Schizosaccharomyces pombe: one gene and its partners. Changing the gene in region 4 together with the main gene of any one other region gives a genetic interaction. Each region holds a gene or a part of one and is shown on either strand. Other genes may lie near its edges.

Region 1 (8,012 bases), on a different chromosome or scaffold from region 4:
AGAATGAACATCAAAAAGACGCTGTAATATCGGCATGGCATCAATTTTAGCTTCCTTTAATTCCGTGTTATAAGTCATTATTTTTGAAACGGCGTCCGTATATGATCTGTCGTGGGCTAAATGTTTATATTGATTTTCTATTAAATCAACAAGAGCCTCAATTTGCTGAAAAATCCAGTTCCTGTAAGCGGGATCCAATTTTTTCAACTCAAATAATTGCAAATAAGAACTAGTAGTTTGCGCTAAACAACGAAACACTATGAACGCGCAAGCATCGATGAAATTAGGAGTGTCTTTTTCCAATTGAACATTCAGACACTTTTCTTTAATCAATAAGGTCCTAGACTTCATAAATACACCTTGTCCCTCCTTTTCATGGCCTAAAGAGCGTAAATAACGAACTATTTCTTTCCCGTGGGAAAGACTGATTCCTTTAAATCCAAGTTGATGAAGTAAAATTTCCGTCACCTTTCGCTTTCTATTGTGAAGTTTATCTGCAAAAAATTCGGCAAACAACTCGTTTAGATTACCACGCTCTAGCTTATTTTGTATCAAAGCCAAATTTCTAATAGCATCCGTAAACTCTTGTAAGCTAATTTGTATGTCGAGATGATCAAATTGCATAGATATTTCCTTTACCATGTTTCTCTGTTTGGCATAAGCCTGAAGGATGTCCTGAGTATCCAGATTTTTACAAAGGACTTGAAAGGATGTATACGAACACATATCGGCTTGTTCCGATTTAGTATGATATTCTAGTTCACGACTAAATTCGAGATCTTCATCATGCTTTCTAGACCAATTTTCTAGTTCTTGAAGCTGGTGATGGCGAGCCTGACGAACCATATAATCCCTTTCTTCACTATTGTGTACTGCCAACAATGTGGTCTTATTGTTATGGTTAATTGACAGTTTGTATAGAGAGACCTCTTTCTCCTTCTGCAGCATTTCAGCACCTGCTGGTCCATAAGTTTCAATTGAAGAAATAGAAATTTCGGTTAAATTCCAATTATACAAAACCTGCTGCTTAGCAGGGAAATCAACTTCTTTCATGTGAGAAGTAGTAACCAACAGTCTATCATTAAACAGAAGCATATTGACAAGAAGCTTAGGTCTCTGATTGTCAATATTGATTAACATCCAATTGTATTGCTCACATATAAGCTGTCTTTGAGGCGCTTCCCAGAATGCTTCATCTAGCCCTTCAATGGATGATCGTAGTCTCTGTACCGTTTGTTTTATTGATTCGTCGGAAGGGTCATGCGTATGGTCGACCAAGTTTAATCCTTCAATGTCAGTCTCCAGGGTTTTCAACAGAGACTGAAACTTTTTAAAATCTGAAGTCATGCTCTCAACCTCCCCTGATATAAATACATATTCATTCAAATTTTTGTAAAAATTCTTTTCCAAATTTTTACGGACGCCCATGTGAATGCGTAGAAGCTTATTGTATAAAGACACAAATTCATCTTCACTAAGGTCCTGTAAAACATCGTTTAAATCTTTTTTGCAAAATTAGTTTCCAATAGACATAATTACACATACAGCTTTGAGCATCAAAATTTTGATTATCGAAAAATTTAGGCTGTAAAAAAACTTCATTTTGTGAAATGATATGTTTTGTTTGCCGTTTTTGTCGATAAATATCATCTGTTTTAGAGGTACCGACTCGTAATCGCGTCGGTGACTTTTAAAAAGCAGTTTTAGTAATAGGTTGTTTTTATTTAACTTCAGTACATACCTGTCTTTGGCTTTCATTTGGTATGGACTCCGAAGCAACACTTAAATGATTAGATTTCCTAACAAAAAATTAGCTCAAACACCCGATATTCTCTAGCTGCGTACATGAATTCATCTTCAAAAGAAGATGGATTGTCAGGCATTTTTTTTTCAAGTTTCTGATAGAAGAATAAATATTATGTATCTAAAGGATGTTAAATTGAATGCTTCACATTTGAAATAAGTTTAACAATTTACCAATTAAAATAAGGGAATGAAGAACCTATTTGTGGTATTTACAAATAGGAATAATAAATTAATTTATCCTTGAGCAATTGCTCTATTTTTAAAAATCTATTAAGTTGTTTGCTTTGCCGAAGTAGTTGGACGTGTTTGTAAAATCAAGCGCTGACGAGGGGTTTGGAATATCAGGGCTGCACTTAATTTTGAAACGAGTAAAGCTACGTAGCTCAAATTATATACCATGCTTAAAAAATAAATTTATAGTAAATATCAGCTAGATATTATAACACGATATTGAACATGAATTAAGGTGCATGATATCAGTCGTTTAACTGATGGAAGTTTCCTAACAATTTTTTATTCCTTGGTGAAAAAACTACCTCAATATCTGCTTTGGATTGAAAACTGAAATTCAACTTGCCGGTTCATATAGGATGAATATGTATTCTTAGTATTTTGATTCTACTTCCCTATACGTAAAGGAGCCTTCACTTAACTTTATTCCACCGTGCTACAAACTTCCTTCAAGAGCAATTCATAGATATTGATACTATAACGGTCAATTAAATTAAAAAGGCACACATATACATGTATGTATAAGTGGATAAATAGGAACATTATAATCTTTTTTATATAAATCGAAGGTTTTTCGTATCTAACGAATTTATAGCCAGCTGAAAGGAATCTTCTATGATAAAAGACCACTTCGCAGAGCGAGGCTGCTGATACTGCATAAAGGCGCTATGAGATTTAGTGTTTTATTTTTACAAAAGGTTCCAAATTGATTTGTTGTCAGGGTTATAATTAAATCCAGATTTTGTATGGCAATGTAAAGCAATGGCAGTTTCGTTAAATGACTTTATAAGTGTTAAATTAAAACGTTATTCTCGTGAGTCACCCTGGGAAAGACTTAGAGTCCCATATAGAAACAAAAAGCAAAAGAAATGGGCTTCCGTTCACAATAATGAAGCTCAGTTGCACTCGGCTAATAAACGAAATGATAATTGTCTAATCCAAAGAAGTAGTACTTGGAGATTGGGGGATATGATTACACTTGTCATAAAAGATATTCCAGTTACTTGGCTTTCAAATGAGGGAGGAAAACTATACAACTTGTGGGAACCCCTTCATGATTACGGTACAATAGAATTCATGAAGATTAATGAACCTTTGAATGGACAGACAAGTACTACTGCAATAGTCCAATTTGCTCCTCCTCCCAAAGTTCCATTCTGGGAACCAAATGGGAAAATAAATGTCAAAGGTGTTGATCTAGCTGTTCAAATTGACATAACAGCACATCGTTCCCACATCAGCCGACAAGTTTTCTCTAAGAATAGTTTTAGAAGCGATCAGCTAGTAAAAATCCCGTTATCCTCCTTTAAGCTCGGGCAAGTTTATGATGAAAGAATTGTCCCACTGTTTGGTGTTGATTGTGGAATAACTGTAACTGAATCAAACTTACTTGTATATTTTAATTTCAAAAAGCTCTGTGTTCTCTTTGATGCTTCTTTTGACAAACAGATCGAAACCTTTCGTCTGGACTTCGATTTTCATTCCATAATAGGCGATGTAGGGACGGATTATTACGATGATCATATTTCCCTCGTATTTAGATTTAGATTTTCTCCACTAATTTTCAGAAAATCTAAAAATGCAACTGAATCCAGAGTTCAAACTTTCTGGACTGCATCTCATCTTTGGAGACGACATTATGATATTCTACCTTTCAATGTTTCACCAACGACTGCTAGTCCTATAGAGCTACTTAATTGCCATAACGCCCCCATTGGACGCTGCAATGTTTTAGTCCTTAGCTTTTCCATAAGGGATGAGTCTGATAAAGATGACATTGCCTTTCTTTTACACAACTTGGAAAAATTCAATTTGAAAAGTCAACTTGATAAAGTGGTTTTCCATCTTGTCCCAGACTACAAACATCGCTGTAGTCTAATAAATGATAAAGAAATTGAGGAAGAGATTGCTTATCTTTTGCAGGCTTGCCTTTCTAAAAACTTATTATCAGAAATTGATTTGCCCATTATATTGGCGAATTTAAAGAAATTATCGAAAGAGAGAGCAAAAAAATTCCTAAGACTAATTCTAACGTCCAAAACCGCTTTAATAAATCCTTCTGAGCTAGATTTTACTAAGTCTTTTGTCTTTTACGATTTATCTTCCGCTTCTTCTATTCACATTAAAAAATTGTACGTTACACCTACTACTCTTCGAATAGTTGAAGACTCATTAGAAGCAGGAAATCGTGTTATAAGAAATTTTAAGGACTTTGCAAACCGTTTTATGCGTGTGCAAATAACTGATGAATACTATAAGCAAAAAATTCGAGGCGGTTCTGATGGGTTTAGAAATGAAAAATTGTATTCTCGCATCCAACAATTATTAACCTACGGAATTAAAGTTGGTAATCAAATTTACGAATTTTTAGCTTTTGGAAATTCTCAATTAAGAGAGCATGGTGCTTACTTTTTTGCTTCGGGATCTGATCTAAATGCCAAACAGATCAGGGAATGGATGGGTGACTTTAGTGAAATCAATTCAGTATCTAAGTATGCAGCAAGGATGGGACAATGCTTTTCAACGACAAAGGAAATTAATCGATTTTGTGTTGACATATCCCTTCAGGATGATATTGTTCGTAACAACCACTGCTTTACTGATGGGGTTGGAATGGCATCATTATCTGTAATTCGAAGACTTTCTTTGGAAGTAAAAAATCATGATATGTTTCCCTCTGCGTTTCAATTTCGTATGGGTGGTTATAAAGGCGTTTTATCTTTAGCTCCTCCGACTAAGCTTGAATACCATCAAGGAAATCTTGTGTTTCCACGCCGTAGTCAAGATAAATTTAAATCATTCCATAGTACCTTGGAAGTTATTAAAATATCTCGATTTTCAAATGCCCATCTGAATATGCAACTGATCACCTTATTGGAAGGACTCGGGGTTGAAAAAACCGTATTTTTGGAATTGACTAGAAGTCAGTTGTCAAAAATGAACGAATCGATAAACAGCAAACAAAAATCCATTTTAATGTTACGGGACAACGTAGATGAATATCACTCTACTTTAATTATTGCTGATTTTATCCAGGCCGGTTTCCTTGAAAGAGATGATGCTTTCACCGAGAATTTATTAAATCTATATTATGAATGGGTTCTTAGGTTAATTAAGGAAAAACAAAAAGTTAGTGTTCCAAAGGGTGCCTATTTACTTGGTGTAGCTGATGAAACTGGAACACTAAAGGGTCATTATGATGATGCTGTTTTGTCAGTACCTGAAATTTTCATCCAAATTACCGACACTTCTACCAGTTTTGGTTCATATTCAACTGGAAAGCTGAAAACAAGGGTTATAGTTGGATTGTGTATTGTTGCAAGGAATCCCTCGCTTCATCCAGGTGACGTACGTGTCTGTAAAGCTGTCAGATGCGATGAGCTTATGCATTTAAAAAATGTGATAGTGTTTCCGACAACGGGTGATCGAAGCATTCCTGCTATGTGCTCTGGTGGTGATCTGGATGGGGATGAGTACACAGTTATATGGGATCAACGTCTTCTTCCTAAAATTGTTAATTATCCCCCATTGCTTGAATCATCTCCCAAGAAGTCTATAGATTTTTTGGAAGGAAAGCCACTTATCGATTCGGTAAAAGAATTTTTTGTGAATTATATAAAATATGATTCGCTAGGTCTAATTTCAAATGCTTGGAAGGCATGGGCCCATGACCATGATAATAATCCGGAAGGGATATTTGGAAATGTGTGTTTAGAACTTGCAGAAATGCATTCAAAAGCTGTAGATTTTGCTAAATCGGGAGTAGCTTGTAAAATGCAAGCCAAATACCATCCCAAACGATATCCTGACTTCATGCAAAAAACAAAAACTCGTTCTTTTCGTTCCGAAACCGCGGTTGGCAAAATTTTCAGATACGCTGCACGATTCCAAAGAGAAAGTGGCAGACCTGCAACTTATAATCCGATAATGAATACTGTTTATGATCCTTGTATGAAACTTCCAAGGTTTAAAACTGAATATCTGAATGTAGCTGAAGAAGTGAAGAAACACTATGATAATGACCTGAGATCAATTATGGCTCGTTTTGATATTTCCACAGAATATGAAGTTTACACAGCTTTTATCCTTTTTAAAGATGATTTAGCTAAAACCGTAAATGAATATGGTCTTAGGGAGGAAGTTAGCTTTCAGTTCGACCTTCTAAAGAAAAAATACACTCAAGAGTACTTAGAGAAATGCGCTTTATCAAATCAATCGGCATTTGATTCTTCGGAATATGAAGAACGGATAAACAGTGCGGTTGCTGCCACTTACGATGTGACATACGATCAACGTGTCAAATCTGTTGGCAATGGCACTACTGAGGTATTGATTTCATTTCCATATTTATTTTCTAGTCGTCTTTGTCAGCTTTCACGAAAAGCCATGCTTACTGCTAATAATTTTTAAATCGAATATACATTCGAAGCTTTAATTGCTCGTAAAAGGCTAATAGTAATTGTACTCATTATCGACAATGGAACATAGAACAGCAAAACAGGTAGCTAGAGTTAACATTTAACAAGACTGTTGTATGTTTCTGCTGAAGGAAAAGAGTTGTCATAATTTTTACACATATACTCGATGGTTAAAGCAATTTAATCGTAATAATGTATAATTAACGATTTTTATATCTGCCAAGCTTAATCTAATTTTCACCATTAATTTAAGTAGAATAATTATAAAATTTTGTAACACGAAACAAACCAAAACTGTAAAGAAACTACGGCATGTGAACTCCAATTCAGCTTCTCCGGGCAAGATAAATGCTTTAACCAACCCATTTTCTAGCAGATTGGAAAAGACGGATCCAAGGACCATGAACGCCCCACTCGCTAGCTTTCGAATGAGGGTAATAACTGTTTGCAACTTTCAAAACTACACGTTCAGGGTGAGGCATCATAGCTAAAAAGCGACCACAAGGGGAGCGAACACCAGCTATAGCATCTCTGCTTCCATTAGGGTTGAATGGATAACGGCTAGTACGCTCGTTGTAGTTGTTAACGTAGTATATCAAATCCAAACCTTCCTTCTTAAATTGTTCGTAATCGGACTCTGAATCGAAAACAGCTCTACCTTCTCCATGGGCAACGACCACGGGTAAACTAGATCCAGCCATACTTTCAGTGAAAATGGATTTTGAACCACTTGTTTCATCGATCTTTAACATAACTGCACGACCTTCGTATTGCGCTGACTCATTAAATGTAAACATAGGCCAGCTTTTAGCTCCTGGAATAAGTGATTTCAGACGACTGAACAGTTGACATCCATTACAAATACCCAAACCAAATGTGTCTTTACGCTCGTTAAAGAAACGGTAAAACTCATTACGAGCATCTTCGTGAAGAAGGATGGAAGTAGCCCATCCATTGCCAGATCCTAAAACATCACCATAAGAAAACCCACCACAAGCAGCAATACCGACAAAATCATCCAAATGAACTCTACCGCTGAGGATATCAGTCATGTGAACATCCACGGCAGTAAAACCGGATGCATAAAAAGCATATGCCATTTCCAAATAACCATTTACGCCTTGTTCACGAAGAATTGCTACTTTGGGACGACTAGTTAAAGCCAAATCAGCGGTAACTGACACATTTGGATCAAATGTAAGGTGGTATCCTAAACCAGGATCATTATTATCGGCAATATTTTCCATTTCCTGTCGTGCACATTCAGGATTGTCACGAATTTCTTGCATTTTATAAGAGGTTTCATGCCAAATTCCGTGTAATTTAGAGCGAGTTGATTTGAAGATTATTTTACCAGAACGGCTAAAAGATATTGTTTGAGCCTGGCCGGAAAGTACTTTACCGATGCGATGAACACAAGTACTCAAACCATTAGCAGCAAATAACTCCAATACCTTGGCAATGTCACGATCACAAACTTGAATTACAGCGCCTAATTCTTCATTGAACAAAGCCGCAATATTATCGGATGACAAAGAATCTAACTCACATTCAATA
Region 2 (9,359 bases), on a different chromosome or scaffold from region 4:
GAGAAAGCTTCAACAAGCGGAATCCATTACGAAATGACCTACTCATGATAAACTGTATTGAATGTATGGTGAACGAGAACTTTGTTTACTCCTTCTAATAGCGTGCGATAATAACGTAAGAAACAGCGTTAAAACATCATTCACGTTAAAGTTTTATAACACTATTGTGGAACTAAAGCAGTTTGTTAAAATGAAATAGTCATTAGATGCGTAATATTTTTAAAGTACTTTAACGAACCTAAATGCTGCGTTAAGCATTGAATTGCGATTTATCATAGAACTGTTAAGAAAAGTAAGTAACAAATTTGCCTATAATATTATTCTCGGCTACCTTTAAAACTTTGATAATATAATAAACATCAAAGAGCTCATAATTAAACTGAAGGACTATATTCAATTGAATCTATTCATTAATATAATTAATAAAATTGAATCTAATTTTGAACATAAAAATAGTGTAATTCAACAGATTAGTCGAATAAATAAAGTGAATAATGATACAGCTAAAGTTACGTAGTGCAGCATCACCATATTGCTGGAAACTCACAGTTTTCAATTGAATTAAAATAATCGTTTATGACTACATAACTAACATAAATGTTGCTATAATGAATGCAATTCCTTCTAGTACAATATTTAATAAACGACTGAAGTGCCACTAACTTTCCTCCTAAAAACAGTATATCTCATCGATGATAATTATAAATAAAGAAATTACCCTGATTAAACTACTTTGTTAAAAAATAATAAACAAGAATGACGATGGGACTGCAAATACTTGATTTTAATGTTTTTTCTAGCCAATCGTACAAAAATTGTCGTAAAGAATACATATTTACATTCAAAAATATCACATAGCTTATTCATCCAGTTAGTAGAAATAAACCACCATAAAGGTCTTGTTACTTTTATTTTGGAAAGTTTTTAGCTGAAATCATGCGATGCCCTCGCAAGGTCGTAGACTGACTTTACGATAAAGGGGTAAACATACACGCACGAAAGATTGAGATGAGCTAGTACTTATAAAGTAAATAACGAACAAAAAGTCTACCATTGTTTAGTTAATATTGGGAAAATGTGGATGCTGTATATTTTTAAGACTTTTTTGCTGTTAATACAACGTTCAAGATACCAAGAGTATGTATTCCACCCATTGTAATGGCACCCTAAAAAGATTGAATTCTTCGAGGCAGTTAAAAATTCAACATTGGATTCTTTGGTGATAATTCACACTCTTCAATGAATACCATTTAAAAATGACAAACCATTCCGATGAACTCAAATTTAAAATATTAATTGAATAAGAGTTAATCGATCAAATGAAAAACTCAGCATACCATGCAATAGAGGGATGAAAAGAGCTTAAGAATAAGTAGAACCTAAAGAATCAAATGAATGCAATTACTCGTTAAAACCTTCATCAATTTCTTGAGCGGACCTTGAAGAGCGATGCTTCGGGGTCTTTTCTGCTGCTTCTGTAATTTTAATGTTGAAGTTATTAGTTTCAAGCTGCTTGCGGTAATTACACCCTTCCCAAGAGACGATGCTCATTCCAAAATAAGTTCCGAACCCCCAATTAGCAGCTCTAGAAATAGGTGCTTGAATATTGTTAGCATGTGTCGGCAAGAATTTAAACCGCTTATTAAACAACGGATTGAAATCACCGTTTTAAAAAGTTGGTCCGAAAATTAAAAGACATGCGATTTTTTTTGACGGACATCAATTAACCAGCATAATGTTTTTTTTCGTACCTCGAAGAAACAAATGGATGCAACCAACACCTAGACCACAGACGACACTGGTGATTAATGATTCCTTAAAACAAGGATGGTGTACCATGTGAGCAAAATCACTCATCTTCAATGACTACAAGTAGTATTAGCATTCCTTGCATTTACAACAAACTAGTCCTTTTTAAGCTATAAATTCTACCTTGAAAGCGTCAATAATCCCAGGTTTTTCGGGTTCATTTGGTGTACTCATAGTTACTGATTCGTTTAAGCTTTTTCAGTTAATGGTGGAATAGAGGTAAATATAAGGTATCAAACTGATTGAATTAAGCACTACTAAGTTTTTTTACTATGGCGGGGTCTTTAATCCTGTACTTCAGCAATCAGACAATATTTTTTTCTTTGAATTAATATAAACTTTTCCATTTATGATAGTATATTTCGCCAAAATAACCAAGCTTTGACAATTTATATCACTGAAAGCAGAAACCGCGTCACCATGCTTCTCTAAAAGAAAACTGCTTTTTTTTTTTTTTTTTTTTTCTTTAAATTCAATCCTTAAAGGAAGCAATATCGATTTGAAATAATTACTTACGGTCGAAACACACGATCATTAGGCTAATGTATACTAAATTTTGTATTTTTTTGTACTTTGTCTTTATTTTATGGCAAAAATAAATAAATTGTAATGCTTTGAACTGGAACATGATACCCAAAATAATTTGCAAGTTGTCGACGCGACGCGACTTGTTGTTTACCAATTTGTTGCCTCTTAACTCGGTATTAATCCAAACCACTATATCACATTTAAAAGGATACCTAATGTTTGTACAATAGAAGAAGTTTCTTCTTAATACTATTCCATTTATTAATTTAGAATTCTCTGGTAACAATCGGAAATTACTAAACTGTCGGTCTCTTTTTACTTTCTTTTTTTAATATTTATTTTGTATTGCTATGCCCTTAAAAACAGCTCGAGGAGCATCCAAATATCAGTTTAGGAAATTTAATGGTAACTACAATGGAAAAAGTAAATCGAACGGTAGGACGTTTGCAAAATCAACCGAGGAAGTTGGCTTCAATGATCCTATGAAAATTGTCTACAAAAAGAATGAGATTGATCGAATGATGGGTTTTGATAGCTATGAAGGTGGACAACCACGAGAAGCTTGGCTTCTCAACGTTCATCCAACAGTAATCGAAAGCACCAAAGGCAATTCTACCCTCAGTGCCGTTGACTTTTACTTCATTCAAGACGATGGTGACACTTTCCGGTGTACCATTCCATACTCTCCTTACTTCTACATTGCTGCTCGAGAAGGTAAAGAAGCTTTGGTTGACGATTATTTAAAAAAAAAATTTGTGGGCTTAATTAAATCTACTACGCGTATCTTTAAAGAAGATTTACAGCTAAAAAACCACATAGTGGGTTACCAAAAGTTGTATATAAAGTTGGTTTTTGATAACCTGAATGACCTTCAGGCTGTCAGGAAGTCTTTGATGTCTGCTGTGAAAGCTAATTCTTCCCAACAAGATGCCGTTGATGCATACACTAACTTGTCTTCGGAGAATTTAAACGGGATTATAGAAAACGCATTTGAAGATCCTTTAAATCATGTTTTAGATATCCGTGAGTACGATGTTCCGTATCATTCTCGTACACTTATTGATTTGAATATTCGAGTCGGACAATGGTATACTGTTTCATATCATGAAGGCCATGTTCAAATATCCCTTTTAGCTTCCCGAATCGAGCGTGCAGAACCTACTATAATGGCTTTTGATATTGAAACCACTAAGCTGCCATTGAAGTTTCCTGATAGCTCGTTCGATAAAATAATGATGATATCTTATATGATTGATGGCCAAGGATTTTTAATTACCAATAGAGAAATTATTTCCCAGAATATTGAAGATTTTCATTATACTCCGAGGGAGGAATTTGAGGGCCCATTTATTATTTTTAATGAGCCTGATGAAGTTGGCCTACTTCATCGATTCTTTAAACATATAAGGTCTGCAAAGCCTTCAGTAATAGTTACATACAATGGTGACTTCTTTGACTGGCCATTTGTAGACGCACGTGCTGCATTTCACGGATTGAATTTAACAGAAGAAACTGGTTTCTTCAGGGACGCAGAGGATGAATATAAGTCTTCTTATTGTAGTCATATGGATGCCTTCCGGTGGGTAAAGAGAGATAGTTATTTACCTCAAGGAAGTCAAGGTCTCAAAGCTGTCACTGTCAGTAAATTAGGTTATAATCCTATCGAACTAGATCCAGAATTGATGACTCCTTATGCAAGTGAAAAACCTCAAGTTCTTGCTCAATATTCAGTTTCAGATGCTGTTGCTACTTATTTTCTTTACATGAAATATGTGCATCCTTTCATTTTTTCTCTTTGTAACATTATCCCATTAAATCCTGATGAAGTTTTACGTAAAGGCACGGGTACGTTGTGTGAAACGCTTTTAACTGTTGAGGCTTGTACAAAAAATATTATTCTTCCGAATAAACATGTTGATGCTAGTCAAAAATTTTTCGACGGTCATTTACTTGCAAGTGAGACTTATGTTGGAGGACATGTTGAAAGTCTTGAAAGTGGTGTTTTTAGAAGCGACTTGCCGACTAATTTCAACATGGATCCAAAAGTTTATGAAGAACTAATTTTACAGTTGGACAAAGCCTTAGATTTTTCTTTAACAGTTGAAAACAACGTCAATGTTGATGAAATCGAAAATTATGAAGAGGTTAGAGACAGCATATTAAAGAAACTAAGTGACCTTCGTGATCGACCAAAAAGGTCGGAGAAGCCAAGGATTTACCATCTTGATGTCGCCTCAATGTACCCAAATATTATGATTACCAACCGGTTACAGCCAGATTCAGTAAAAGATGAATCGTTTTGTGCAACATGCGATCTTAATGTGCCCAATAAGACATGTGATCGTCGGATGGTATGGGCATGGAGAGGGGAGTATTACCCTGCTAAAAAAGGTGAATATCATATGATATATTCTGCTTTACAATCTGAGCGTTTTCCAGGCCCTACCCCTTTCTCACCTTTTAGGTCATTTCAAGAGCTTTCTCCCTCAGAACAAGCTGCTATGGTGCAAAAGCGCATTGCGGATTACAGCCGTAAAGTGTATCACCGTCTATATGATAATACCGTTATCGAAAGGGAAACTATAATTTGTCAAAAGGAAAACTCATTTTATATTGATACGGTAAAAAGCTTTAGGGATCGCCGTTATGACTTTAAAGGATTGCAAAAAAAATGGGTCAAACAACTTGCTGCTATAAAGGAAAAAGGAGGACTTGCTGAAATAGAGGAGGCCAAAAAGATGGTCGTACTCTACGATTCTTTACAGTTAGCTCACAAAGTTATTTTAAACTCTTTCTATGGATATGTCATGCGAAAAGGCTCCCGTTGGTATTCGATTGAAATGGCTGGTATCACATGTTTGACAGGCGCTACGATTATTCAGATGGCTCGTCAAATAGTTGAACGTGCAGGTAGGCCATTGGAACTTGACACAGATGGTATTTGGTGTATTCTTCCAGAATCGTTTCCTGAAAACTTTGAATTTAAAAAGAAATCCGGAGGAAAGGTTTTTATCTCTTATCCATGCGTTATGTTAAATCACCTGGTTCATGAAAAGTTCACCAATCATCAATATTCTGCCTTAAAGGACCCAGAGAAATTGGTGTATGAAACAACTAGTGAAAACAGCATTTTTTTTGAGGTTGATGGTCCTTATAGAGCTATGATTTTGCCTGCTTCAACGGAAGAAGGTAAAAACTTAAAAAAGCGTTATGCCGTTTTCAATTTCGATGGTAGTTTAGCTGAACTTAAAGGCTTTGAGGTGAAAAGAAGAGGAGAATTGAAGCTCATTAAGGATTTTCAATCTCAGATATTTAAAGTTTTTTTGAAAGGTGATTCTTTAGAGGAATGCTATCAAGAAGTTGCCTATGTTGCTGACACTTGGTTAGAGATTCTATTCACCAAAGGCTCTAACCTAACAGATGATGAATTAATTGAACTGATTTCTGAGAATCGTAGTATGTCTAAAGCTTTGTCTGAATACGGAAGCCAAAAATCGACATCCATTACTACAGCCAGGCGACTGGCTGACTTTTTGGGTGATCAAATGACCAAAGACAAAGGTCTAGCATGTCGTTTTATTATTTCCGCAAGTCCAAAAGGAAGGCCAGTTGCAGAAAGGGCAGTACCGGTAGCTATTTTCTTTGCTGAAGAATCTGTTAAGCGACATTTTCTTAGGCTCTGGTTGAAAGATAATGGTCTATATGATGTTGATATTAGAGACATTATTGATTGGGATTATTATTTGAAACGTCTAGGATCAGTAGTACAAAAACTAATTAGCATCCCTGCTGCTCTCCAAAGGATTTCAAACCCCGTTACCCGTTTTCCATTGCCGGACTGGCTTCAAAAACGAGTTGCTGTCTTGAATTCTAAATACCAACAGAAAAAGATCGATTCCATTTTCTCCTTAGCCCCTACAAATCCATCCACAATAAACAACACAAAAGTTACTGATATTGAGGATTTAGGAAGTGTGACTCACAAAGATAAGCGTATTGTCGCTCGAGTTACCAAGCGTAAACTTTTACAACAATCTGGGAACTCGGAAGCACCTGTATCTTTTGAAGTAAAACCTGTATCCTTTATGGATGGATATTCGAATTGGCTTAAGTATGCTAAGAAAAAGTGGAAATATCAGAAGCAGGTCAAGCTTCGAAGAAGACATTTAATTGGGTTTCAATCAAGGCAATTCACCAATGTTTTACAATCTTCTGCTGAAGTTATGTTTGAAAATTTATGGCATATTTTACAAATACGAGAAACCGATGTTCCTGGTATTTTACATGCTTGGGTAATTATTCGTAATCGGTTGACCTCGATACGGTTCATTGTGAATAGAAAGTTTTTTGTATGTTTCAAAGATGAGACTTTACCGAATGTTGAAATTGAGGGATGCTTAATTGAAAAAAGCAATGCGATATTACCGCATGGAAGCACTTCGGATAAGCTTTTTTTACTTGAAATTCCAGAAAAGAGCTATTTAACGGAAAAGGTATCAATTTCTATGATTTTTGCCCATCCGTCTGTTAGTGGAATATATGAGACTCGTATAGAACCAATTGAAAGATTGATATTAGAAATGGGATCCAGAAAAAGGTTTAATAATTCAGTACCTGGAGCGTTAGGTAAAGGCTTCGAATTTGGATTTGAATCTAAAATGTTCACTGACCCAAGTGATAACGATGTTTCCTATCTTGATGGAGTAGAGATGAACTACCTTTATGCATTCCATTTTTCCATTAGTAATAGGTTTGTTTTTTCACTTTTTATGCCACATTTAAAAAAAGTTGAGGCCATAATTTATGACAAACTGCCAGGTAGTGATATGTCTTTCCCATCAATCAGCAAAATTTACGAAGAGCTACGGTCGAAATTTGATAATTTAATTAAGGAAAGTAGTATCGAATACCCTGATACTCTTTCGTGTAATGTCATTTTCTCGGGAAACGAAAGGAAAGCGTACAAACTGATAGATGAAAAGTTGCTTCAATATTTTTCAACTAAAACTAAAAATAGTCTGCTTATTATTGAAAGTTCACTCCCTCACATATTGAAGGCAAATGTGAAGCAAATTGAAGAGCTTCCGTATATAATGATACCACGGCTTGAGAGCAACATACAGTCTCTTTCTTGGAAACAACACATTGCTACGAAAATGATCCAACATTTCTTAGCTATTGGTAGCTGGCTTTTCCATCGCATACAACTTTCTCGCTTCTCAGATATCCCATTATGCAACTTTGAAAGCGATGACATTCAGTACAGTATCGATGTTGTTTACTCTAGAAAGCTGAAAGAACATAATATTATCCTTTGGTGGAATAAAGGCCCAACTCCAGACTTAGGTGGTATTGAGAAGGATAGTATTCTGCAGATTGCCAGTCCCAAAGATCCACTAGAAGTTAACAATCCTGGTGCTTATTCAAATGCTTGTGTTGACATTTCTCTTTCCAACCTTGCACTTTGTAGCATTCTCAATTCTGCTCTCATAAATGACATAGAAGGTATTGGCGACATGGCAGCTTTGAATGATAATTACATGACCGCCATAAATGATGATCTGGAGGAAAAGTTGGGAATACATGATAATATTGGACTGACACATTCATTGCCGGTGTTGAAGGCGTTGGTTAAAACTTGGTGGAACGAAGCTGCATCCGGTAATAATCTCGCTGATCTTATAATTCAACATTTAGCCCGATGGATTTCTTCATCAAAATCTTATCTGTACAGTCCTTTACTCTCCTCGCACGTGGAAGTTATAATGAGAAAAACTTTTTTACAACTTCTCTCTGAGATAAAACGCCTTGGAGCACATATCATACACGCTTCTGCTAATAAAATATTAATCAAAACGAGCAAATTAATCGTCCAGAACGCTGTCACTTATTCAAATTATTTACTCAAATCCATTAAGACGTTACCACTATTTCACTTTTTGGATCTAAATGTCACGGAATACTGGGATTATCTTTTATGGATGGATTCCGTTAATTATGGAGGAAAAATGGTGGCAGCAAATTTTTCAGCTACAAATGAAGAACCACAGACAGTTGTTTCATGGCACATTAAAAGTCATTTACCTCCAATCATTCAGCCCGAATTTCAGAGTTGGATTGTTGAGTTTATTGAAGAGGTTTATAAGCAAAAATTAGAAAAGTCTAATACAAAAGTTGGGTTTGTTCGCGTGAAAAACAACAATGCTGATGAGGACTCTGAAATAGTTGGATCGGGAATTTTAAAAAGTAAGTTGATACATCCTCTTAAACGGAAAGTTGCTCAAGTAAGGAGATGTTTTCAAGAGCTTCAGCTTGATGAAAATACCAGAGAAGATCTTAAATTTCCAAAGTTGCCAGGTTCTTTTCTTAACTATACTGATGGCGCTCTAGAATTGGTTAAAAGCATCTGTGCTGTTTTTGAACTCTCCCATGATCTCAATTTGGAGGTCCGTTTTTTAAAAAAGAGTTTATTGTCACTTTTACAAATTCAAGAGTTTTCCACTCAGGCGGTATTTCGATATCCTAGTCGTCGACTTTCACTTGATCAAATACCCTGTAAGCAGTGTGGCGTCCATCAGGATTTTGACCTTTGTTTACATGAGCATCTATGGCCTACTCGCGATGACATGGGGACCTTGGTGTTTTCTGACGGATGGTCTTGTTCCAGCTGTAACTTAGTTTACGATCGATGGGTGTTTGAGGAAACTTTGGTGGATAACTTATACCATCAATTGACATTATATCAACTGCAAGATTTGATTTGTTCTAAATGTAAGACAGTTAAGCAATGGTCATTAAAGGAACGCTGTTCATGCAGCGGAGAATGGGTATTACAGCTTTCACCTACAAAGTTTCGTGAAATGTTAAACGTTTATCAATCTGTTGCTGATTTTTACGAGTTTTCTATATTGCAAAATTCTGTTCAGTCCATACTTTCTGTGCTGAACTAACATTTCTCGCCTGACCATGAGCATGAGTTTGGCTTTTTTGTCTTTATATGTATTTTATAAGTTATTTTGATT
Region 3 (5,710 bases), on a different chromosome or scaffold from region 4:
TAATTAAATCCTTTCTGTGTGGATCCTCAGCATCCCACGAAAGTTTAACTTTTGAATGTTGCAATGCATCGGTGACAAAATCTCTCGGCTCATATTTTTCGGGCGCTTTAGTACATACTTCGCGAGATTCATCGTCGTCAAATGTAACATCATCTGGAATGAATCTTAAATCGTAAATATTAGCGCTAGTTTCATACTCAGCGCCATCACAAGTTTCGTATATAACCTTTGCCGTTCTTACACTATCACATTCCACTACTGCGTAATAGTAACGAAGCCTTTCTAATTGATACTGGCGTAATTTTACCATATCAAACTCGTTGCCTAAATCCTCCTCTATTAAAGCATCTTCCTCATCTTGATCAGACTCATTGTTATCAAAACCAAATTTTTGAGCCTCATGCAATTCGGCGCTAGAAGGTTGATTGTCAGCTGGAGTAAATATATCACGTGGAGGACCCTGAACATGTTCCGCAGCCATTCTGGATTTTCCAAATTCACTGGGATAAATCGACACTTTCAGTAACTTCCCACCAGGAGGACAAAAAGAAGAAAGAGCAACAAAAAGATCAACTGCTTGAAGATTATCCCAATCCATGTTTACTACAGCAAGACGGTTAGTTTCTGAACCACGAGGAATATTCTCTTCTGGCTCGATTCCAGCTAATTCGGATATCTCCGGTTGAGCTTCAGTTTCACTTTCAGCGTCGCTTTCATCGCTACTTTCCGAAGTACTAATAATTCCCTCACCACGAGCTGGATCATATACTTCCTCATCTTCGGACTCCTCATCGGTTAATTCTTCCGATTTTGTGGATTTCGAAGACGCTGAAGCGACTTCTTCGTTGTCAGTAATTTCCGATGATTCAGACGAACTGGACGACCCTTCATTTTCCAGTTCATACAGTCTATCAATCTCTTTAGTAGCCTTATCTTGGTTGAGAGGACGGCCATATCGATCAACACTGGCAGTAGTTTTAAAGTCCTTATCCTCCTTGAGAGATTTAAACCGCTCATCAACTTTTACTTTAAAATTGCCACGTTTAAGTCTAGAAAATCTAGGATCAGAGTGAACTGATTGAAATCTAGGATCCGCAACTACGTTGCTTTCACTCCTTGATTTAGCATTAATAGGCTTCGTCTGCTTTTTGCCCATGACTACTTCCAATATACAAGGCTTTGACTAAATATGAAGTTCAACTTTCAAATTATGTGTTGTAGTTAACGCACATTAACGCATTGTGGTTCATTAATGTATGGAGTATTTAATACTTCTAATAAAAAAAAGAATCGATTCTTCTATGCTTTGAGGAAACATATTTATTTATGATATTTAAAATTAAAAGATGTATTGATAATTGATTTCGACTTCTCTTAGACTTACATAGTTGGTTGTGAATAGTGTAAACAAAACTAAAAACAGTAGATTAGGATTAAAGGTTGTACTAACATTAACAGTTTTTCTATATGAATAAAACTCCTGATAATAGCTTGCATGAGAATTGAAGGGACTTCGTGAACACATGTTTTAATACTATCGAAAATGAATAGTAACTTATTTCTTTCCAAAAAAGGACATAATAGACTTTTGTTGTGGTTTACTTTGTGCAGTATTCTTCTTCTTAGTTGCAATGTTTACAGTAGTCGGTTTGTTTCTAACAACATTTGAAGTACCAGTTGAGATGTTTTCATCTTCAGAAAATGATTCCCAGACTTCTTCTTCCTTAGTAACCAAGAATCCTTCTTCATCTTTCGTTGTCGCGTACTTTTTAACTTTTCTTTTCCCACGTCTCTTTCCACCGGATACGGATTTGATAATTTCCTGAGGTTCGTCAGGTGCAGCAGATTTTGCTTCGGTACCAATTTCCAATTGGAAATTATTAGAATCTAAATTATCATCTTCAGAATCGTGAACGCTAGTGGTAGATACTGATTCATCTTCTAGCTGCATAATATTTTTCAGATCATCGCGCTCTCTCTTTGCTTGCTCAGACAACTTCTCCTCCTTTGGCAAGAGAGGCTCCTTTTCTTTATGATTTTCAAGAGGAGCTTTTTTATTTTTACGAGATGAGTTTCCCTTTTGGTTCCTTGCATTACTGAAAATATCTTTCCCTTTAGTCTTTTCTGTACTACGTGTGTCAGTCTTATCGATTGTCGATGTCTTTGAGGGAACAGATAATTGGGGGGAATGAGTTGAAGGTGCCTTTTTCAAAACACGAGGCTACAATAAGTTAGTCTTCCGAAGACGGAAGGATCGAATGTCAAACAACGATTGTTGTGATATAAATTACTTACCACGGAATTTTCATTGAAAATAAATCCATACTTATCAGCATCTTCTTTTTTGTATAAAACATCTTTCTCTCTTATTTCATATACTGCAGGTAATAATTCGTCAAAATCCTTAATTAAATCAATTAGTTTGTAACAATATAAAATACAGCTTATCGAATACTTACACTTAATGGAGCAGATGAAAGAGCAAATATAACAGTTTTATACCCACTTTTCAATCTACTTTGTTTCTCTACAAATAGTTAGCGAATCTGCTATCGAATGATCGGAATTGACAATAACAAACCTTGTAGAGAAGACTTATCACACAAAATGTATTGCAAAACAGGAAAATTAGATATAGGTTGAGATTCCTCGTCAATTTCCAAATTAATTTCATCATCTATAGGTTGTCCATGAATAAGGTATATAGGATACAAAAAATCGTTGCCTTGATAAAACATATTAAGATATCTGAAAGTATGAATTATTAATAATAAAAATAAAAAATAATGCGTATTGTTCCTTACTCTTGTGCTTTTTCACTGGATATATCCAATTGCAGACTTAAATTATCTACAGTTACCTTTTATACAGTTAGACATTCAAATTCTTGTTGAAATTTCATATCTTACAAGTGAAGATTCATTGATAACTTTAATATCTAAGAAGTTTCTCCATTCCTCCATTTTTTTAGAAATTTCTTTTTCCGCTAAGTATTCCTTAGGAAAGTGGTATTTACGAGAATAAGAAGCAGTGTGTAAAATCAACGAAATTGAAAATTAGTGGGAACAATCCTAAGGTAGGCTAAGTACTGAAGCCAGCGCAGACGAAATATGTATGAAAGATTACATTTTCATTAATGGAGTATACATGCTTAACTACATTTACAATATGTAAAATATTTAAAATCTAAATATTGACATCGCATGTTCAATTACTGCTGCTATCCAGTTCATAGAAGTATGCTAATGAAAGATTTAAAATTGAATGGGAAGTTACTTCATCAACGCTGACAGAAATTGATTTAGTAATTTACGGCATTTTTTAGTAGAATGTTTTTCAAATTTTATTAATTTTGAACATGGCAATTTGATTTTTTTTCTCTACTAATTTCCTTCTGCTTTTAAGCTGATAGCGTAAGGTTGAGTTTCACAAAGTTGTTGGAATGTTTTATATTTAATCAAACTTGATTCTCCCTTATTTCTATTTTCGGGTATAATGATTTGTAGCACATTAATGTAGTCATCTGACAAATCTCTTATAATATTATTTCTCAGTATCGCTCTATGCTCCATAGAAATGATCAGAGTATATACATATTCCCAGCTGTATTCAATAATGAATTAAATTTAATAACAGTCAAATAATGCTACAATTCTTTATCCCATATGCCTTCATTTTAGATAATTGACATCAGGATACCGTAGGTATTGCTTATTCTTACTTATCATGGTGTTGGTCGCTTCAGCAAATACTTCCAATATAGATAATCAATTCTTTAAACTCTCATGAAAAGTTTAGTAAACCTTTGGGGAATCTATCCATTCATTAGAAATAATTCTCTCCATGGTTTTGCCAAAATACCTAGAATAGTCAGCACTATCCCCAGACAACTCCGCTTCTCATCTCTACGACATCCTACTAGACAAATGGACTTGATACATGACACTGTCGTAGTTGAAAATCTTAACACATTTGCTGTAGTGGGTCAAGACCAATGGAAAAGAAAGGAACCTCAGCCAGTGCAAATTGATGTATATATGAGAAACAATGTTCAGTTAGCTGGAGAAAAAGACGAGTTAAAATCAACGATTCATTACGGTATAGCTTCTAAGCTATTACGAAAAGAAATTGAAGGGTCTTTTTTTACAACCCCTAAAGATTTGGTCAATAAAATTGCAAGTTTATGTTTTGAAGACGTTATTGATACCTCGCATGTTTCTATTAAGCTTACTTTACCCAAATGTGTTTTAAGGTCTAAAAATGGATTGCACTATTATGCTGAGCGCGAACGCAATTCTACCAGTAACTTTGTAGATCGTATTGAATTCTCGGATTTGGAGTTAGCTACGATATTAGGAATTCACGCATTTGAACGACAAGAGAAGCAAAGAGTTTGCTTAAATATATCATTTGCAAATACGGAGGTCGAAGCTTTAGAGATCGCGCGCGCAATCGCCGAATATGTCGAACAATCTGCTTTCCTGACTATAGAAGCTTTGGTTGTCAATCTTTCAAAGTATCTTTGTTTTACAAAGAATCTAGACGATATAAGCATTAAAGCTGAGAAACCTAGTGCTATCACATTCGCCAATGCTTCTGCGGTGCAAATTTATCGAACACGGTCGTACTTTTTACAAGAGTCTCTGCATAAATACGAATCCACTAAGAACAAAATTGCTTATTTGTCTTTTGGTTCAAATATTGGTGACAAATTTGAGCAAATCCAAACAGCATTATCTATGTTGCATAAAATAGAGGGTATTCGTGTGTTGGATGTTTCCCCTTTGTACGAAACAGAGCCGATGTATTATAAAGACCAACCTTCTTTTTTGAACGGTGTTTGCAAAATTGAAACCAGAATGTCGCCTATCAATCTTTTAAGAGCTTGTCAATCCATTGAACAAGAAATGGGTCGAATCAAAACAATTTTAAAAGGACCAAGGTGTATAGATCTCGATATTGTCTTGTACGAAGATTGTGTTTATGAATCAGAAGTTTTGACTATTCCCCATTTAGGGCTGCAAGAACGTGAGTTTGTTTTACGTCCATTGCTGGCCTTGAGCCCAGACTTAGTACACCCTTATACCCATCAGCCCTTACAAGAAGCTCTTGATAAATTGCCTTCACAAGGAATAAGATTGTACTCATCTTTTGACAACAAAAAAATCATTAATGGCGCCTTAACAATGGGAATTTTGAACGTGACCCCCGACTCGTTTTCTGATGGTGGTAAAGTCTCGCAGAATAATATCCTTGAAAAAGCAAAAAGTATGGTTGGAGATGGTGCTTCTATCCTAGATATAGGTGGGCAGTCTACTAAACCTGGAGCTGATCCCGTGTCTGTTGAGGAAGAACTCAGAAGAGTAATACCTATGATTAGTTTACTTCGAAGCTCAGGGATTACAGTACCCATCAGTATCGATACTTATTATTCAAAAGTTGCAAAACTAGCCATTGAGGCAGGTGCTAATATTATTAATGATGTGACTGGAGGGATGGGTGATGAGAAAATGTTACCATTAGCTGCAAGTTTACAGGTGCCCATTTGTATTATGCATATGAGAGGGACACCAGAAACTATGAAAGCACTTTCAATATATGAAAAAGATATCGTTGAAGAAGTTGCTGTCGAGTTGTCGTCTCGCGTGGAAGCTGCGGTTCAGTCCGGCGTTCATCGATACAATATTATACTGGATCCTGGCTTTGGATT
Region 4 (8,324 bases):
TATCGCAATTTTAGAGGCGTACGAAGCACAGCAAACTGAAACTACCGAGACTGAAGGAGTTGATAAGGAAGACTCCGATAAGGCCTCGTCTGTCCAAGGCAATGAAGATGAAGTACCCGACACTGCATCTGAAACCGAGCATTCCGAGATTGAAGACTTTCATTTCGATCCTTATTCCGAGAAAGGTGTCCATATTGCCATGAGATATTTTGATGCCGCTTTAACACATCGTGATCGCGAATGTTTAATCCACGATCTATGTGACAACGATCAACTGAATGATGTTGTAAGAGAATTTATGAATGCGTTTTATAATATCATTTACGAAGCACATCAAGCTGCCGATTTTTCACAAGCTATTTATGACTTTCAGTATTTCTTATGGGATGTTATTCAGCTTTCAAAGGCCGGTGCTCCCTTAGTAAAGTTCATCAATCTTGTTGAACGTTATCAAAGCTGCTTTGTCCGTTTCATTCACCGACTTGTTGTGAATGCGCCCGATCTTTGTGGAGAGTGGTGCGACTGGTATCGCCATTGTTTAAAACAATTTAGTGTTGAGGTGAAGACTCCTGATGCGGTAGATGTTGCCCATAAAGCTTTAAATACCTTGGATGAAGAGACAAAACATCAAGTTTTGGAAGAAATTGGTGATTATGTGAAGGAACTTGATGAAGAAAGCAAGAAGGCTATTGAGAATAAAGATAGTACTAGTGAATGGCTTTTACATCTTTATAACTTCTTTGGGTCCGCAATTATTACACCCACTACAGCTCATGGAGTACCGCAGCCACAACTTCCAAATTGTGGAATGAAATTAAATAGAACTAAAGAGAAGCTGCTGACTCCTTTTCGAAATCTTTTAATGGAGCAACTCAACGAATTACAAGCGAAAAATCAAGAAACGCCTTCAGAAATGACTTCAACAGAATAATTTTATTACTAATTGAGGTCCAAAACATAATGACATAAAATCAAGTGAGGCTCGCACATTCCATCATTTCTTCTCACAACTACAAATGAAATGAAAATGCATTTCTTTTTTTTATTCTTTACTAATGATACATTCTTTACCATTATATTGCTTTTTTCATAGTGTAAAATTGTGAGCGTAAGAACAATGCTAAGATGGTGGTAACTAAATAAACGAAGCCACGTTCTGTATTCTTTTTCGTAAAAATCTTAAAGCTTCAATCGTTTCATTACTATTTATTTAATCCTTGTATTTAACTCAATGCTATGGTTGTTAAAAAATACGACTGCTATTTCGTAAACATTACAGTCAAATTACGGCATTTGAGTTCAGTAGCATGTTTTTGTTATTCGTGATAGTTTGGTAATTCTGAGGAAAGTTCATTTTAATTTTTTTTGCATTCGTTCCAAAGTTAAACCCTCTACATAACTGGAAGGGGGATGTTAATGGAAAATGAAAATGAAGCTAATACTCTTAGCTTACTTTGCAGTTTTAAGTAATATCTTATCGTCAGTGGAAGGTCGAGTAAGATATAGTAAGAGACCAAATCACAAACTTGGAACAGCCGAGTACGCAGAATGCATGTCAAATGCCCCGATAGTGTTTAATCGGTTTGATGCAAGTTATTATACACGAAACTTGTCAGTAGTCTTTAATATTCTTGGATATTCATCTGTGGACGCAAATGTTACGTTTGATATTATAGTTGAAGCTTATGGAGAGCAGAGGGCAAGATTTACTTTCGACCCTTGTGAAATAAATCTTAATACTGTGTGCCCAGTTGCAAGAGATACAGCTATAACCACACAGGGAATACTTCCAGTGAGCCCTCAAGATGTTCAGATGATCCCAAAAATTGCCTGGGGAATTCCTGATTTTGAAGGCTTAGTGCGTTTTCGCATGTATCGCTCAGAAGACATCGCAGCGTCATCCATCGATAATTCTACACCACTTGCGTGCATGATCGCGACACTTAATAATGGTCATACGTTTAAAAATAAAGTCGTAAAAGCTCTAAGTGGAACTGCTTTGGCATTGAGTATAGCAGGCGTCTTAGGCTTTTATGTAATTGGAATGGAGCATAGCACCTATCTGACACGTCAGGTTTTCATCAATTCCGTTCCTTCTTTGCAGCACATGGGAGAGCTACTTCAATGTATAGCTTTCACGGGAGCAATTGGAATTACACAGCCAAAAGTGCTAGTCGCATGGGCTAGTAATTTTGCATGGATTCTAGGATTTATTACCAATAAAGAGATAGAAAACAGCCTTGAGTCTTTTAGAAAGCATTCCAATGGAAACCTAAGTTCTCCAAAGATAGGTGGAGTCCATCGAAGAGATGCTGTTGCAACAAACCCTCAAAGCCCGATTCCTGGATTTTACCATGGGTTTCAAGGCCTAGCCACCGAAGTTGGAACGCTAACAACGAATTTATTTACACTCACTTTAATATGGTTTTTGATTTCTTTGGCCATAGCAGGAGGAATCGTTATAATATTCGTACTTATTATTAAGTTTCTTCGTCAGACACGTATAATCGCAAAATCTTCATGCGATTATATCACAAGGTATTGGTTTAGAGTACTTTTTAATGCTTGTATGAGATGGGTAAGTTAATTGAACAAAGGAATGAGTTGTTCATACATAGCTCTTAACGACTTTTTTGCTTTATACTTATACTAATCTGGTTGATATAGGTGTTGGTTTGTTGGCCTGTATTGGTAACTATGATAATTTACCAGTTTACACTTAGGGAAGCATATGGCCCTGTAATATTGGCGGCTTTGCTTCTGGCACTGCTTTTTGGGCTTTTCCTTTGGTTAACTATCAAAGTCATAAGAGTGATAACAACGTCAGGCTTGAGTAACGAGGACAATCCAGAAACATTGATAAGCGATCCAAAAATATACACATGGTGGGGATGGTTATATTTGGATTTAAAAGAACGGCGATGGCTCTATGTTTACGCCTGCTTTGCACATTATTTTAGTTTTGCATTGGTTTTAGCGTTAGTACAACAGTTTGCGAAGATTCAAACTATACTTCTATTTGTTATTGAAATCATCTCTTTTATATTGCTAGCAGTGTTTCGGCCTTTTGTTGGTTTCAAAAATTCCTTTTGCGTCTTTTTGGTTGCTCTCACCCGAGTGGTTTCCTTTGCTCTTCTCATACCGATAGCATTTGATTTAGCAATCATTCCGAAAGTGATCATTGCAATCATTCTTATCATTATACAAGGGCTGGTATTTTCATTTATGGCCCTGTGGAGCCTTTGGAACTTCATTACTATGCTAGGTACAGCATGGCCAGCCATTAGCTACACAGTCCCTTGGCTTAGAAGATTAATAGATGAATATCAAAGACAACTTCATATTGACTTTGAGAATCCTGCGGTTTCTGCAAGTGAAAAGCTATCCACCGAAGAGATTATCCCACAAGAATCAAATTTTGAAGAGCCCTCTACCACAAAGAAAGAAGGAAACGTAGACACAAAGGAAGATGGAAATGACGATGTCTTCAGCCTTGTTAACGCTTCTCCTATGCGACCAGCATCTACAATACCTTCACATTCATGTGACAACGGGATTAATGAAATGCAGCGTACTGTTTAAAGATTTTATCGTGGATGTTTCCAACTCAAACTATTGCATTAGAATGCCTTAAAGACTGAAAGTTGACAACACCAAGTACATATAGAAAAAGATATTTGCATTTGCATAAAAAAGATGATTGAACTTGATGCGATTAACCCTAATAATCTGAAAATCCTTGAAGTTATTAACGAAAAGTGTTTTGATCCTGAAATCATTATATTTCCAACCTCCTTTTACAAAGACACAATCTCAGTCGGGCCTTTAGCACAATATGCGTACTTTAACCAGGTCTGCGTAGGAGCTGTTAGATGCAAAAAAGAAACACATAATAAATCGCACAAAATCCAAATTTTATCTTTGGCAGTTTTGCCAGCCTATCGAAACCGTTCTATTGGTACCAAGCTGTTGGAATATGCTTGCGAGACTGCAGCTGAGGGAAAAGCCAAAGAAATTTACATTAAATTAAGCCCTAAACTCGATGTATCCGAATGGTTTATTCATCGGGGATTCATTATTGATGAGAGCTCCAAAACAGAAGATAGCGTCCTTCTTTCGAAAAAGCTATAGATTGCACACACATTTATTAATCTAAGTGAAATGCAATTATTAAATTGACTTGAAAATCTAACATGGATCCTTGGATAGATTTTAAAAGAATAAAATAGATTTAATTTTGAAATTTTTAAAGAACAGATTTTGTTAGCACCTTCAATAGGTACAAAATGTGATATCATTTGAAACAGCCGAACCTTGCCTAAGTAAAATTAAAAGACTTGAAAATGACTAAGATAATTGTAGGATTCTTATATCCTATCAATAATAAGAATATGAATCCATTCAATTAAACAAGAGTAAAGTACATACGAACTGTAGTGAAACATTACCACATGCGGCAAGACAACTTAGGAATTGAAAAACAAATGTTTATTTAAACAGCGAGCATTATTTTTTAAATGCATTAACCCGCAGTTATCCGCCAGCTTGTAATTCATCTGATTCCGTATCACTATCATATCCCTCCACCAAACTTCGTTTAGTATTTATAACATTTTCAAACTGTTTACACAAAAACATTTCATCTTCCGTAATTGCAAAGGTGCTAAACCATGTCTTATCGGATAATAATTCATTAGCTGAAGCAACAAATGCAGCTTTAATCATACTAATTTGAAATGATTGCTTTCCAATGTCGTTATTTCTGTCAATTGGATCTTCAATAGATAGCAAATTTGGTTGCACTTCGTTTAACCAGCCCTTTTGTAGCTTAGGAACTATTTGACCGGTTAAAGGTCTCAATACAAAAAGTTCGTATGTCCATTCGACTCCCCAAAAATAGAAGAATTTCTGTAGTAAAGCTCGAATTGGTTGCACTTCCGAATCAATTCCCTTTTTGTGAAATCGCATTTCAAGCCAACCAATTAGCATATAAGAGAGCGCGCAACTTGCAATCCCGCCATGATGAACGTTTTCCAAATCTCTTTCAAACAACCAGTGCTTCAATAGCATCAGCAATCTACCAAAAATTGGGTGTTCTTCGTTATAAGCTTTTTGCAATTCAGCAGTTCTGCAAGCTTTGTCATTTCCAAACGTCAAATCCACCCCAATTCCACTAACATCTACTAAATTGATGCGAGGGACTCTGGCACTAGAATGGAAATCAGCATCAGCATCCAAGTACTTTCTTAAAACCATGGTGACGCGTCGTTTCTCCAATTCTCCAACTCGAGGTGACTTCAAAGATACGTCTACATCACTTATAGATAATGTTGTTCCAATATACATGCTACCGTATACTTGAAGTTCAGCATCCAAAACGACCTCCCTAATGTGAGTCTGTAGTTTCTCTAACAAAAGCTTTCTGTACTTCAATTCCTCGATTTTCGGGCTTACGAACTCCAAAAATGAATAAAGTCGAGCATTATCACTCAAACCTTCTTCATTCCATGGTACTGAATGCAGCTCTAACAGGACTTTACCCATTCTTAAGAAATGGCATTTTGGCTAATTTTAATATCAATGGATTCAATTTCATGGCTCCTCGCACATAACGAGGTCGTGCGAGTGCCTTGTAATTATATGTAAATAAATCATTTTATAGCAAAAAAAAGTATCACGAGTTTTTAATCAATAAATAACTTATTTGTTTTTATAAATAATAGAATGATTGACTGCAAAAGCTTCCTAGTCTCATACAGCATTTATAGCGAAAACCAAAGATTATGAACCCAAGAAAAGCAAGCAAAAGATAGATAAGTACTCCCTCATCTCTCATTGTGCAAATTTTAACTTAAGCATGTGTATTTCGATTTTTAAAGGTTTCCTTTATGATATTTTTATTTGATAAACGAATTCGTTGGTTTACGCATGTAAATACTGTCATGGCGTCTAAATACATATGAAAATAAAATAAAATTAATCCAAGTAATTAGTCATGTACTTCTTTCTTTTTGGTAATCTGATTCGTAATGAACAGTGTAGGACTAAGTGTAACAATCATAATTTAGCAAAAGACAAATTCACAAAAAACAGTCAACTTGAAATAATCACGGAAAGATGAATATAAGGTGTTTTTTTGAAATCCCCTTTCGCTCAAGCAGTGTAAAAGTGACTATAATAAGGAATTATTGAACCAAGAAAACATTAATAAATATCATGCAATAACACAGAAACAAAATCTCCTTTGTTTTTTTTGGACATCAAAAATTTGAAATTATTGACCGCATCATAATAATAAGCCTTTGAATTAACTTATGAAAGCTCACTCATAATTGAATAAAACAAAAAAACAAGTACAGAGATGCAATCAAGCTCCTTTAAAATTGAACCTAGTAAACAGATATTATATATAAATTAATATGCATGTTTATTAACTAAAAATTCCGTCTACACCCATTTGGTAATCCTTACTTCCAATCTCCATAATTTTAACGACTTTTTTATAGATATCCGCCAATTTCTTTGTAGAAATTATCTATTTCTTCATCCTTGTCTTCCTGAACTTGGCTCGATACATCCCTGTCTGGCTGTCCAATTTTCTGCCCCTTGGCTAGTTTTTGTCGTTGAAACGCAGCAGGTAAAAATTGAGCAGCTTCTTGTCGTAAATCTCTGACTACCGGCTGAGCTGAGTACTCAATCATAGTTTCCTCTTCAATGTCCTTCGTATTTGCAGCAGCTTCTGTCGTAGTAGTGGATTTTGGTTGTGCTGAACTTGCATTTATGTCTTGCTTTTTGTGGTGCTTTGGCTTAAAGCTCTTATTTTTCTTTTCCCTTGGCTTTGGATCCTCAAAAGGATATTCTTCAGAAGGTAAAGGTATATCAATAACGGATTCATCTGTTTCTGAACTTAGTTCTTCCTTCTCACGATAAGGCATTCCTGGCGGCGGAACTCCGTAAGGATTAAATATTGGATCATAATATATACTTCGTTTTGGGTTTTTAGGGATAAAAGGCTTTCTAGGTTTATGTTGACGTTCTGCCTCCTTAGTCTTGTCTGACTCAACACGCCCAACTCTATGTCCATGAATGTTTTTCTTCTTCATAATTGCCATATCTCTTTGCAAATTTTGTAATAATTGCTTGTCATGTGCATTTAAAGCTTGCGAAGATTCTAATTGTGTCAGCTCTGATAATTGGCGTTCCATTTGGCTCATATTCCTATGCGACAGTCGTTCTTCATGGCGTTTTGCTCTTTCTTCTCGCACTTTAATTTGTTCTCTTTTTTTCTTCTTTCTGCTCTCCGCTTGAACGGGATTTAATCCCCGTTTTGACAGCATTCTGTAGAGTCAAGTATAGTATGGGTTTAGAATGGTGGTGATCAAAAACGTGACATGTATAAAATATTTAGGCAAATAGACAAAGAATAGTATTAAATTGGTTTGAGTAATCGACCGTTTACATTAAATTTAAATAAAGAATAATTAGTAATGTTGAAGTTGATGAGCTAAAAACTAAAGTTAATAGGCTGGTAATTAATTGTGTATATAGAGTATGAGTCAATGATGGAATTTCAGAATCTTTTCGTTTAAGTATATTCTACTGTATTAGCAATCATTTAGTAGAATTGGGCTTTAAAACGTAATTATTTTTCTGGCCTTGCATTTCAAGGCTTCCATTTTTGACATGTAAGAGTTGGCTATTTAAGAAAAAGTACTTACTCATTGAACTTGGCAATTGTCAAATATTTGAAATATGCATACTCCTTATTTTAGTGATATTTTTCAGCTTGACTTCCCGTTTAAAAAATGAATTACTGCTTAGTAGAGGGAACATTTATGATGGAAGGTGATTTATAGTCGTGGATTCAACAAACAGTAGCAAAGTTCGTTGAAAATAATTAAATTCTTCTATGTCACTTATTAGTAGACCCAAAATCAACAGTTTACGTTACAACAATTGATAGGTTTTACGCTAATCAAAAACATATTGACAACCATCTACATTACAAACGCGTTTATGAACCAATCACATATAGTTTTATTTTCTTGTAAACATGAAAGCATTTTATTAACCATTAAATCTTGATCGATAAGAGAACAAACAATTTTGCCATTTTTACGAACCAAGTTCCTCATCCGGAAATCCGTAAGCTTGGCAGATACAATGGCTGTTCCATCTTCACCGAATCCAATAACCGATAGTCATCGAACGGCCAGTAAGAGATTACCAGCACACGAACTATATCAATTTCAGAGGATGGTGTTAGTAGTAAGAAAAACAAGCCATCATTTGGGACTATAAACATCTAAAAAGCAGTCACTCAA

The links.
Region 1: of cid12 (region 4) and rdp1, extra expression of one rescues a mutant of the other (dosage rescue), as found in Schizosaccharomyces pombe (2 studies listed by BioGRID, with this or other methods).
Region 2: mutations in cid12 (region 4) and cdc20 impair growth when combined (synthetic growth defect), as found in Schizosaccharomyces pombe (one study listed by BioGRID).
Region 3: mutations in cid12 (region 4) and cdc27 impair growth when combined (synthetic growth defect), as found in Schizosaccharomyces pombe (one study listed by BioGRID).

Annotation. Positions count from the first base shown.
Region 1 is NC_003424.3:1,322,454-1,330,465, forward strand, and holds rdp1 (RNA-directed RNA polymerase (RDRC) Rdp1), read left to right. Parts: upstream 1-2,487; 5' UTR 2,488-2,552; exon of another isoform or gene 2,553-2,632; 5' UTR 2,633-2,799; coding exon 2,800-6,447; 3' UTR 6,448-6,608; downstream 6,609-8,012. Other genes in the region: exo8 (exocyst complex subunit Exo84), read right to left, coding at 1-1,502, 1,546-1,687, 1,742-1,799, 1,846-1,883; phosphoribosylformylglycinamidine synthase Ade3, read right to left, coding at 6,809-8,012.
Region 2 is NC_003423.3:3,251,202-3,260,560, forward strand, and holds the start of cdc20 (DNA polymerase epsilon catalytic subunit Pol2), read left to right. Parts: upstream 1-2,520; 5' UTR 2,521-2,687; coding exon 2,688-9,287; 3' UTR 9,288-9,359. Other genes in the region: mug16 (UNC-50 family protein, implicated in vesicle-mediated transport), read right to left, coding at 1-46; respiratory chain complex IV assembly protein Cox20, read right to left, coding at 1,402-1,598, 1,752-1,866, 1,933-1,983. UniProt on the Schizosaccharomyces pombe protein: DNA polymerase II participates in chromosomal DNA replication.
Region 3 is NC_003423.3:1,060,415-1,066,124, forward strand, and holds cdc27 (DNA polymerase delta subunit Cdc27), read right to left. Parts: upstream 3,011-5,710; 5' UTR 2,964-3,010; coding exon 2,910-2,963; intron 2,861-2,909; coding exon 2,805-2,860; intron 2,749-2,804; coding exon 2,582-2,748; exon of another isoform or gene 2,528-2,581; coding exon 2,460-2,527; exon of another isoform or gene 2,404-2,459; coding exon 2,296-2,403; exon of another isoform or gene 2,222-2,295; coding exon 1,556-2,221; 3' UTR 1,304-1,555; downstream 1-1,303. Other genes in the region: pre-rRNA processing protein Esf1, read right to left, coding at 1-1,156; fol1 (dihydropteroate synthase), read left to right, coding at 3,786-5,710.
Region 4 is NC_003421.2:1,652,889-1,661,212, reverse strand, and holds cid12 (poly(A) polymerase Cid12), read right to left. Parts: upstream 5,568-8,324; 5' UTR 5,545-5,567; coding exon 4,534-5,544; 3' UTR 4,132-4,533; coding exon of another isoform or gene 3,697-4,131; 3' UTR 3,583-3,696; coding exon of another isoform or gene 2,668-3,582; 3' UTR 2,579-2,667; coding exon of another isoform or gene 1,430-2,578; 3' UTR 1,133-1,429; downstream 1-1,132. Other genes in the region: SPOM_SPCC663.15C (uncharacterized protein), read left to right, coding at 1-931; trp663 (TRP-like ion channel protein), read left to right, coding at 1,430-2,578, 2,668-3,582; NatA N-acetyltransferase subunit Naa50, read left to right, coding at 3,697-4,131; splicing-associated factor Saf1, read right to left, coding at 6,501-7,337. UniProt on the Schizosaccharomyces pombe protein: Has a role in the RNA interference (RNAi) pathway which is important for heterochromatin formation and accurate chromosome segregation.